3 linked regions of the Saccharomyces cerevisiae S288C genome follow. The protein of the gene in region 2 interacts with the protein of the main gene of each other region in a biochemical or structural test. Each region holds a gene or a part of one and is shown on either strand. Other genes may lie near its edges.

Region 1 (3,176 bases), on a different chromosome or scaffold from region 2:
ATTTCGATTGCTAAAGAAACATTCTTCAATGCCTCATTCAATTTTTTTTGTTGTAAATTCTTCATACCACTTTCAAATAAACCCTTGATCATTTTGCTTAGAGCTTCATTCGGTTGTGGTGTAAAATTTGGGTTGGTTTCTCCAATCAAAGATGTAGTGAGAACATTTATTTGATCGATATTAGTTTCGGTAGATAGTGCAACAACAGCATCACTCGCAGTGATCAGTTTACTGTTTGCATTGTATTCAAGGGTAACCATGGTTGAATAAGCTTGCTTTGGTATGCCTTTAACGCAAGTTGAAGGAGACGTTTCTTTGATTTTAAGGCTATTGGTTTTATGTTCAAAGATATAATCTAATTGTTACGTGTGCTCCTACATCCGTTTGAAACGATCCATAAACGATCTAAAAAATATAATATTAGACAAGCCAAATACGTTTAAATATACTTAAATCACAGCATATTCACATTCAACTATTTGTTATATATTTAAATCTGTTTTATAAAAGACAGGAGTACCAGTTAGTTTGTGTTTTCTTGTTGCAATTATAAAATCTTCAAAATCATGTGGATTTTTATTGAATTTCTATATCGAGATGAATGTAAATATGTATACAGTTTAGGGTAGGGAAAAAAGAAAGCTTGTTCTCGTTTGTCCCTTATAAATCAGCATCATCTTCATCAGGCAATGGCAAAGCAGTAGCTTGTTCCATTTCTTGTTGGTATTGTTGCATCAATTGTTCATCGACTTGGACTTCTGGTGGGGCTAAAGCTGGAGAAGCAACAAATTCTAATTGTGGGTTACCAGCCAATTTTCTGGCCAACCATAAGAAAGGCTTTTCAAAGTTGTAGTTGGACTTGGCAGAAATATCGTAGTATTGCAAGTTTTTCTTTCTGTGGAAAGTGATAGTCTTGGCCTTGACCTTTCTTTCTTTGACATCGACCTTGTTACCACACAAGACAATTGGGATGTTTTCACAAACACGGACTAAATCCCTGTGCCAGTTTGGAACGTTCTTGTAAGTAATTCTGGAAGTAACATCGAACATGATGATGGCACATTGGGCGTTAATGTAGTAACCGTCTCTTAAACCACCGAATTTTTCTTGGCCGGCAGTATCCCAGACATCAAATTTAATTTCACCGAAGTTGGTGTAAAAGGATAAAGGATGCACTTCGACACCAATGGTGGCGATGTACTTCTTTTCGAATTCACCGGTCAAATGTCTCTTGACAAAAGTGGTCTTACCAGTACCACCATCACCGACAAGAACTAGTTTGAATGTTGGAACTTCACCGTTAGCAGCTGGGGCAGACATTTATAATATAAATGAGTTTATTTGATTTTCCTTTTGTACTGGACTAAAAATCGATTGAGGGAAAAATGTTGAAGGAGCAGTTCTTCCTGTTTAAAAACGAAACAAACTTAAAAGGTGAGGAAAAGTTGATCATACAGTTCAAATTTTTCAAAATCTTCGCCAAAGAAAAAAGAAACGAAAATTTTTTTTCTATCTCGGTGGGATGAGCTTTCGTCCAGAGCGATATTATCCTAAGGTGACGAACCACGCATGTCCTTCATAAACGGATCATTATTTATTTACCAAAGAAGCGTAGGTCATACTTAGAAAGTAATAGTTATTGAAATAAAAGAATAGTAGTAATAGGAAAGATAAAGACGTGTCTATGTACAATTGTATTTTTTGTTTAAAAAATAAATTCTGCATTTTGTGTGGCTGATTACAAAGAGTGCGTAGTGTATTTTGCTTTTTCTTTATTGTACTGGATTCGAATATAAAAAGATGAGAGGAAGAAAGCCAAAAATAATGATCTTGTTCAGCTTGTGGTTCTGTTTGTTTTTTCTTCGACAAGGAGGATGCTATGAAAAGTTCAATGACTTTCTTTGGTTTCCTCAGCATCATCCAAAACTAGCCAATCCTCTTCAATTGGCTCTGACTCACCCTCTTCAGACTCTTTAGCAACATGAGCAGTTTCTACATTTTGCTCGGTGTAAGCCTTTAAAGCCTCTGGGCCTTGAAGTTCCAATTCTGGTAGATTTGGTTTTTGTGGTGGGTTCCAAGGCTTAACATTACCTTCAGCATCTTGCAAGGTACTTGGAGCCAGTTTGGTGTCTTTTAGTTCCCTCAAATACAAATCTTGTATGACGTTGTAGGATATTCTTGTGGTAGTGAAATTTCTATTGCACAGTCTCAATGGCAGAACTGAAGCATTGAGCAGTATTCTTCTGGAAGCGATAGGGAACATTTTGATTAGGACTGGTACGCAGACGGTTCAAGTTTGTATGGACTGGTGACTGGTAGATGAACCTGTATATAAGTTAACACCCCTTCCTTATAACATCTGAGCAGTGGGTTTTTTTTTTTTTCTTTGATATTGAGGACAAAGGAAGAAGTTGGTTGGTCGGGTAAAAGAACTACGCTTTTTTTATGATGCATAATTGGTTCGTGTATGGCGATATGAGAATCGGCAATCAAATACAATACCAACATACTTGTTTTACATAATAACAAGCAGTCTGGACAAGCTTGATAGACTAATAATCTTGAATGATGTTTAAATGCTTTTTCGAGGAAAGCGGCATTTGAAGATAAGCGCAAGTTCTCTTACAATAAGCTCGATTTCAATAAAAACAAGTGTGTATGCACAAGAGGCAACAGAACGTCAATGCCCAGAAAATGAAGTATTTCGGCTTTTCCTTCCAATGCATTTTTTTTTCATTAGAACGCTGATCAGCTGTGTATAGTTTAATTTTATTCTCATTTTCATTTTACAATTTTAAGAGCCGCCGAGGCCTAGAACGAGAAATCCGTTTCCCGCTTTTTCTTCTCCTTACGTCGTCAGATTCTATATGGGCAGTTCTCGCGTTATTCGTCATCAGGCAAGTAATTATGCCCAATCAGCTTACCAATGTCACATAAAGGAACCACTATTATCCCTTTTTGGTAATGAAAAACAACACTCTTCCGGTACGACAGCCGCTGCGGCAATTACTTTTCCCCAAAAGCTCATAATCGATCAATTAACGCGTAAACGAAAAACAAAAAAAAAAAAAATACGTAAATTAGGTCTTCATACGAGCGTTTTTTTTTTTTTGAGGATCGTTTGCATGTCTAGCGCGGCAAGCGTGTTTACAGGCATTCGTTGTGTGTTCATGTTT
Region 2 (3,760 bases):
ACAAAGATTTCCAAACTGCTAAAGATATGTTACTAACTTCCCAAGTTCAAACAAATATCAACCAATTCGATTCATCCCTACAAATTTTATTCAACAGGGTTGTTGTTCAATTGGGTCTATCCGCCTTTAAATTATGTTTGATTGAAGAATGTCATCAAATTTTGAATGATCTTCTGTCAAGTTCTCACTTAAGAGAAATTTTGGGCCAACAATCCCTACACAGAATATCTCTCAATTCTAGTAACAATGCTTCAGCTGATGAGCGTGCTAGACAATGTTTGCCATATCACCAACACATCAATCTCGATTTAATCGATGTCGTCTTCTTAACATGTTCCTTATTGATCGAAATTCCAAGAATGACTGCCTTCTATTCCGGTATTAAGGTCAAGAGAATTCCTTACTCTCCAAAATCCATTCGTCGTTCCTTAGAACATTACGACAAGTTAAGTTTCCAAGGTCCACCAGAAACTTTAAGAGATTATGTCTTGTTTGCTGCCAAATCAATGCAAAAAGGTAACTGGAGAGACTCTGTTAAATACTTAAGAGAAATAAAATCTTGGGCTTTATTACCAAACATGGAAACGGTGTTGAATAGTTTAACGGAAAGAGTACAAGTTGAATCTTTGAAGACTTATTTCTTTTCTTTCAAGAGGTTCTATTCAAGTTTTTCTGTTGCTAAACTAGCCGAATTATTTGATCTTCCAGAAAATAAGGTGGTTGAAGTTTTGCAATCTGTTATCGCAGAATTGGAAATCCCAGCCAAATTAAACGACGAGAAGACCATCTTTGTTGTCGAAAAGGGTGATGAAATTACTAAATTGGAAGAAGCAATGGTAAAATTGAACAAAGAATATAAAATCGCTAAAGAACGTCTTAACCCACCATCAAATCGTCGTTGATCAATAAAATCAAAAACTACTTCGAAAGCATTCTTAACAAAAAATCATTGTAGATAGAAGAATAACATCAGCAACCAAAAAATATAGAAGGAAACTAAGCAGGAGAGTATAAACCATATTCACTTTTGCTTTTTATTCTTGATATTGCTCATCTTTTTTTTTTTCGATTCTTTTAGCGATCTCTTTATTTTTAGTTTTAGGGTTTGAATCTAATCGTCTTCACTGTACATTACACATAAGCAAATATATATATAGTTTTTTTTGTTACGTAAACACTCTTTATAATATAATACAAACTATTAAACTTTAAGAAAAGTATGATATGCCGCTTTATTTCTTCATCAAATATAATCTCAAAATATATGGATCATGAGTGTTGATAAATAATCCAATAGCCTATCATGGACTATCTGTTTGACATTCTAAAAAAAAAAATAAATTGTACGAACTGCAGTAAATCGGTATTATCATCATGACGCACGATATCAATTCTTTGCAGAAACTGAAAAATTTTTCATTTTCTACCCAGGAAAAAAAGAAAAATGAAATTCACTAAAAAAATGGGAATACTAATACCAGACGGTCCAATAATCACTATAGTATTATAGACAGCTATAACAGTGATCGAAGTTCGGCGCTCTTCAGATACCGAGTGGCTAATAGACTGAGTAGATCAAAGTGGCAGATAGCCCAAACAAAAGTAATTAGCTTGCAAGCCACTTTATCCTAACGACACGTGATTTCAACCGTAACTAGAGCCATCGCTATGTCTGCTTTACCGGAAGAAGTTAATAGAACATTACTTCAGATTGTCCAGGCGTTTGCTTCCCCTGACAATCAAATACGTTCTGTAGCTGAGAAGGCTCTTAGTGAAGAATGGATTACCGAAAACAATATTGAGTATCTTTTAACTTTTTTGGCTGAACAAGCCGCTTTCTCCCAAGATACAACAGTTGCAGCATTATCTGCTGTTCTGTTTAGAAAATTAGCATTAAAAGCTCCCCCTTCTTCGAAGCTTATGATTATGTCCAAAAATATCACACATATTAGGAAAGAAGTTCTTGCACAAATTCGTTCTTCATTGTTAAAAGGGTTTTTGTCGGAAAGAGCTGATTCAATTAGGCACAAACTATCTGATGCTATTGCTGAGTGTGTTCAAGACGACTTACCAGCATGGCCAGAATTACTACAAGCTTTAATAGAGTCTTTAAAAAGCGGTAACCCAAATTTTAGAGAATCCAGTTTTAGAATTTTGACGACTGTACCTTATTTAATTACCGCTGTTGACATCAACAGTATCTTACCAATTTTTCAATCAGGCTTTACTGATGCAAGTGATAATGTCAAAATTGCTGCAGTTACGGCTTTCGTGGGTTATTTTAAGCAACTACCAAAATCTGAGTGGTCCAAGTTAGGTATTTTATTACCAAGTCTTTTGAATAGTTTACCAAGATTTTTAGATGATGGTAAGGACGATGCCCTTGCATCAGTTTTTGAATCGTTAATTGAGTTGGTGGAATTGGCACCAAAACTATTCAAGGATATGTTTGACCAAATAATACAATTCACTGATATGGTTATAAAAAATAAGGATTTAGAACCTCCAGCAAGAACCACAGCACTCGAACTGCTAACCGTTTTCAGCGAGAACGCTCCCCAAATGTGTAAATCGAACCAGAATTACGGGCAAACTTTAGTGATGGTTACTTTAATCATGATGACGGAGGTATCCATAGATGATGATGATGCAGCAGAATGGATAGAATCTGACGATACCGATGATGAAGAGGAAGTTACATATGACCACGCTCGTCAAGCTCTTGATCGTGTTGCTTTAAAGCTGGGTGGTGAATATTTGGCTGCACCATTGTTCCAATATTTACAGCAAATGATCACATCAACCGAATGGAGAGAAAGATTCGCGGCCATGATGGCACTTTCCTCTGCAGCTGAGGGTTGTGCTGATGTTCTGATCGGCGAGATCCCAAAAATCCTGGATATGGTAATTCCCCTCATCAACGATCCTCATCCAAGAGTACAGTATGGATGTTGTAATGTTTTGGGTCAAATATCTACTGATTTTTCACCATTCATTCAAAGAACTGCACACGATAGAATTTTGCCGGCTTTAATATCTAAACTAACGTCAGAATGCACCTCAAGAGTTCAAACGCACGCCGCAGCGGCTCTGGTTAACTTTTCTGAATTCGCTTCGAAGGATATTCTTGAGCCTTACTTGGATAGTCTATTGACAAATTTATTAGTTTTATTACAAAGCAACAAACTTTACGTACAGGAACAGGCCCTAACAACCATTGCATTTATTGCTGAAGCTGCAAAGAATAAATTTATCAAGTATTACGATACTCTAATGCCATTATTATTAAATGTTTTGAAGGTTAACAATAAAGATAATAGTGTTTTGAAAGGTAAATGTATGGAATGTGCAACTCTGATTGGTTTTGCCGTTGGTAAGGAAAAATTTCATGAGCACTCTCAAGAGCTGATTTCTATATTGGTCGCTTTACAAAACTCAGATATCGATGAAGATGATGCGCTCAGATCATACTTAGAACAAAGTTGGAGCAGGATTTGCCGAATTCTGGGTGATGATTTTGTTCCGTTGTTACCGATTGTTATACCACCCCTGCTAATTACTGCCAAAGCAACGCAAGACGTCGGTTTAATTGAAGAAGAAGAAGCAGCAAATTTCCAACAATATCCAGATTGGGATGTTGTTCAAGTTCAGGGAAAACACATTGCTATTCACACATCCGTCCTTGACGATAAAGTATCAGCAATGGAGCTATTACAAAGCTATGCGACACTTTTAAGAGGCCAATTTGCTGTATATGTTA
Region 3 (3,732 bases), on a different chromosome or scaffold from region 2:
AAAGGCGCGGGGAAACAATGGTGAAGTGAATGAAAAAAACTATTATGATAACCTTGCTCAAGTCAAACCAGGGTTCCCCATACCTAAAGATGGAGGAGACAACATTGATTGCTCTGAGGACCATCAATTAGTAAGAAAGAGTAAATATGAAGGTAGCGGGCTTAGTGCTGTAACAAGAAAAAGAGGTGACAAATTAGGTTTTTTAGATAGGAGGAGAAACGAGTAACACACGTTTAATCAACCTATCCATTTTTTCAATGCAGTATTATGTATATATATATTCATCGCACTGTAAATAGTGACATATTATGAGTCAAATATGCCGAATAAACTTTAAAAGTGAGAAAAGCCGTCACCGATGAGTAGGTTAGCGTCACCTAGTGGCGGTGGTAAATATTATTACATAAACATATCAAAGTTTTATTAATACATTTTTTAATCCTTTAAATTTTCTGGAAACTAATACATAATGAAACTCGGAAAAATTAAATTTAATAAAACCAAATTAAATCAAACAAAAAATTGACAATTAATTATTTCTTTTCGAAATAGTCCGCCATTTCCTTGTCCAGATCTTCAAGACTTTTCTTAGCAGGCTTTTCTCTCTTTGGTTTGTTTTGGGATTTTGCCATAGCAGCTTTTCTATTTGGACCCCTCTTTACTGGTCTTGGAGCGTTTCCGCCTTTTTGTGGCATAGCCTTGATCCTGTCGGCTAAACTTTTGACTGGGCGTTGGTTTGGATCAACGATTAGGTTAAGTCTCAATCTTGATCTGCCTCCATCGATTGGAGAGCCGTTAAATCTTTCAACAGCCCTTCTGGCCAATTCACCGTTTTTGAATGTGATGTTAGCCATACCAGTAGATTGGCCCCTTTCGTTATAACTCAACAAAACTCTTTGAACACCACCTACTTGAGATGCAAAAAATTCCTATAATAAAAAAAAAAAAGTTAGTCATATATCTCTATGATATAAAATCAAAGAAGGAAGGGACAATACACAAACAATCAAGGAGTTGAGAGTATTAAAAGTATACCATTGCGTAGGAAAAATAAACCCTCAAATAAACATGTACCACGATGGGTGAGTTCCTCTTTGGTTTCATTAGGTGTCTCAAATCAAATATTTTTGTAACTATCATAATAAAAAAATGAAGCGATGCACTCATATCTTTTCGAACGTTCATGAAAGACATGTTTCCCATAGCTATTTTTTGAAAATGGTGCCATTCGAAACTGAAAGCTACTCCCTCTTGAAAGGATACAAAATTAATTGATCCTTCCACAACTTCAGTATTGGATGATACGCTTATTAAAAATAGGAACTAACTATCACGGTCGAGGCGACACAATACGCCAGCTTAAAAATGTAAGATTGACAGATTAGCAGATAGTCAGATTGATTTGAGTTAACCCAGCCAATAAGAACAAACCCATTCTCAGTGGTAGCTGGTAATTCCAACCTTATAGGCCATGATTTGAAGTATTGAAAAAAATTGGTATGGTTGGCTTATGAAAACGATACTCTTTTTGTATTTTCTCTAGCGAAGTATTTCGGACTCTTTCTTCATCTCTAAAAAGAGAATTCTTGATCAAAAGCGTGTGCCATATCCTTCCTTACAAAGAATATTTCTCGTATCCACACGAGACGATGCGAGTAACTAAACAAATAGCTCTCATTTCACGTATTAACATACTCTTACAGCATCCTGCTTAATGTCCCTTGGCAAACCTTCGACGTTGACCTTGACCTCTCTAGTGGTGTCCAAGAGCTTGGCAACTCTAGCGACTGCGTTTGGAGGTGCCCTAGTATTTTTTCTGATAGGGCCTCTTCTGTTTGGAAGGCTCCTACGTTGGCTACCAACTTGCTTACCAACTCTTCTTGGACCGTTACCACGAGTACCACCGACACGGGCTCTATTACTTCCTGCTTTGTTAGAGCCAATGATTTCGTCTAAGGATTTATCTAAGTTAGCAGACATTTAGCAGATGTAGGTATTTTCTTAATATGGATTTCTTAAAGTTTCAAATAGAACGAGGGAGATTTTTTTATCTATTTGTCTTCGATAGTTTTCGGATAAAACTTCTTCTAACAAAAAAACCTACTACTAAACACACGATAGGAATGACAGAAAAAAGCGAACGGAAGAAGTGAAAAAGGATAAATTTGGCGGCCTTTTATAGTTCTTCAAGTGGTGAGCCGAAAGCCGTGGAAAAACAACACGTCTCCCCGCCCCTGCCTCGTCGCGAAAAAAAAAATACTAGCAACTGGACAAAGAACTCTGTGGTAGTGGTAAAATAGCTTTAATATACGTATTTACTTTGTAAATATAGTTACATAAGGGTTTTTTATGTGTTAATGAACAGAAAACGAACAATTGGTAGCAGTGTTTTATAATTGCGCCCACAAGTTTCTATTTTTTATTTCTTTTAAGTGCCGCTGCTTCAACCATGCACTTTAGCTGTTCGGGGAAATCCAATTCGCCTAATTTGACTTCTAAAAGTTCTATCCCGCTTCTTTTGTTTGAATTCTTAAGCTCCTCCAATTTCAGTGCTAATTTAGAGGGACATTGAATGAGAGTGCTATTAGTATACTTTCCGTCGAAGTCTCCGAATGCTTCAAATAGTTTGGTCCATTTCCAAGACATAACGTCGTTATACGACCTGGTAGGGCCCATGATGGCTCTTTCAATAGTGTAGCCGTTATTGTTCCAAATGATAACTTCTAGTGGAATATTGCACTTCAGAATGGTGCTCAGTTCTTGGATTGTCATCTGTGCTGCACCGTCACCTTCAAACAAAATTAATCTTGGCTTATAGTCCTCTTTTACGTTGCCACCATTGATGTGAGCGTTTGAGTGGTCTTGCATGGCAATTCCAACACCTAGGGCGGCAGGAAGGGCCATGCCAATGGAAAGGAAAAATCCTTGCGATATATATTTTAATTGCGAAGGAAACGCGAAATCACGAACAGAGAATTGAAAAGAGCCTGTTTCACAAACGACAACATCACCAGGGTTCAAAAATTTAGGCATCGTCTTTTGTAAGTGAACTTGTGTAATAATGCTTGATTGTCCATTGGTAGGATCTTCTAACCGCATTGTTTCGTTCGTATATTGAGTTACATTTGAATCATATTGCAAAGAAAGTTTAGAAACGTCAATGCGCTTGTATAGTTCTTTTAAAATAGGGGCAAAATTGATTCCTTTGAACATTTGCTCATTGCCCTGCCTAGTGTCCACAAGGCGAATATAATTCGGATGAAATTGAATGATTTTAGCATTTGGTTTATAAGTAAAAGTATAATGCCCATTATTAATTTCATTGATGTCGACTCCAAAATGCAAGACCAAGTCGCACAGTTCAAAATGTTCATAGACTTGTTTTAAACCTTCTTTACCATTATATTGACCCATATAAGTTGGGTTTGACTCATCAATTACAGATTTTCCCATAACAGTGGAAAAATTCCAAATCCCAGTTTTGCAGATAAGCTTGTTCAAAAAGTTACTCACACCATACCTATCAGTCAGTACGTCTCCAAGGATCGCAGGTGTTTTACTGGAATATATCCAACTAGTAATCTTGTTGATTATGTCAGACAATTGGTTTTCAGAAGGGTATACTATACAATCTTGTTGAGATATACGTGGAACATTAACCAAATTATCACATGTAACAGACATATCCGCAAAATCTGCAGGAACAAAAATATAACCAGGTTTAGAATACTT

What was found.
Region 1: the proteins of PSE1 (region 2) and GSP1 form a complex in vitro, tested with the Saccharomyces cerevisiae proteins (5 studies listed by BioGRID).
Region 3: the proteins of PSE1 (region 2) and YRA1 form a complex in vitro, tested with the Saccharomyces cerevisiae proteins (one study listed by BioGRID).

What each region holds. Positions count from the first base shown.
Region 1 is NC_001144.5:720,111-723,286, forward strand, and holds GSP1 (Ran GTPase GSP1), read right to left. Parts: upstream 1,321-3,176; coding exon 661-1,320; downstream 1-660. Other genes in the region: Sec63 complex subunit SEC72, read right to left, coding at 1-260; ATP14 (F1F0 ATP synthase subunit h), read right to left, coding at 1,889-2,263; YLR296W (uncharacterized protein), read left to right, coding at 2,868-3,176. UniProt on the Saccharomyces cerevisiae protein: GTP-binding protein involved in nucleocytoplasmic transport. Required for the import of protein into the nucleus and also for RNA export. Essential for cell viability.
Region 2 is NC_001145.3:890,130-893,889, reverse strand, and holds the start of PSE1 (importin PSE1), read left to right. Parts: upstream 1-1,668; coding exon 1,669-3,760. Other genes in the region: NIP1 (translation initiation factor eIF3 core subunit c), read left to right, coding at 1-902. UniProt on the Saccharomyces cerevisiae protein: Functions in nuclear protein import as nuclear transport receptor. Serves as receptor for classical and arginine/glycine-rich nuclear localization signals (cNLS and rg-NLS) in cargo substrates.
Region 3 is NC_001136.10:1,234,806-1,238,537, reverse strand, and holds YRA1 (RNA-binding protein YRA1), read right to left. Parts: upstream 1,981-3,732; coding exon 1,696-1,980; intron 930-1,695; coding exon 534-929; downstream 1-533. Other genes in the region: COI1 (Coi1p), read left to right, coding at 1-226; phenylpyruvate decarboxylase ARO10, read right to left, coding at 2,413-3,732. UniProt on the Saccharomyces cerevisiae protein: RNA-binding RNA annealing protein. May have a role in pre-mRNA metabolism. Component the TREX complex, which operates in coupling transcription elongation to mRNA export.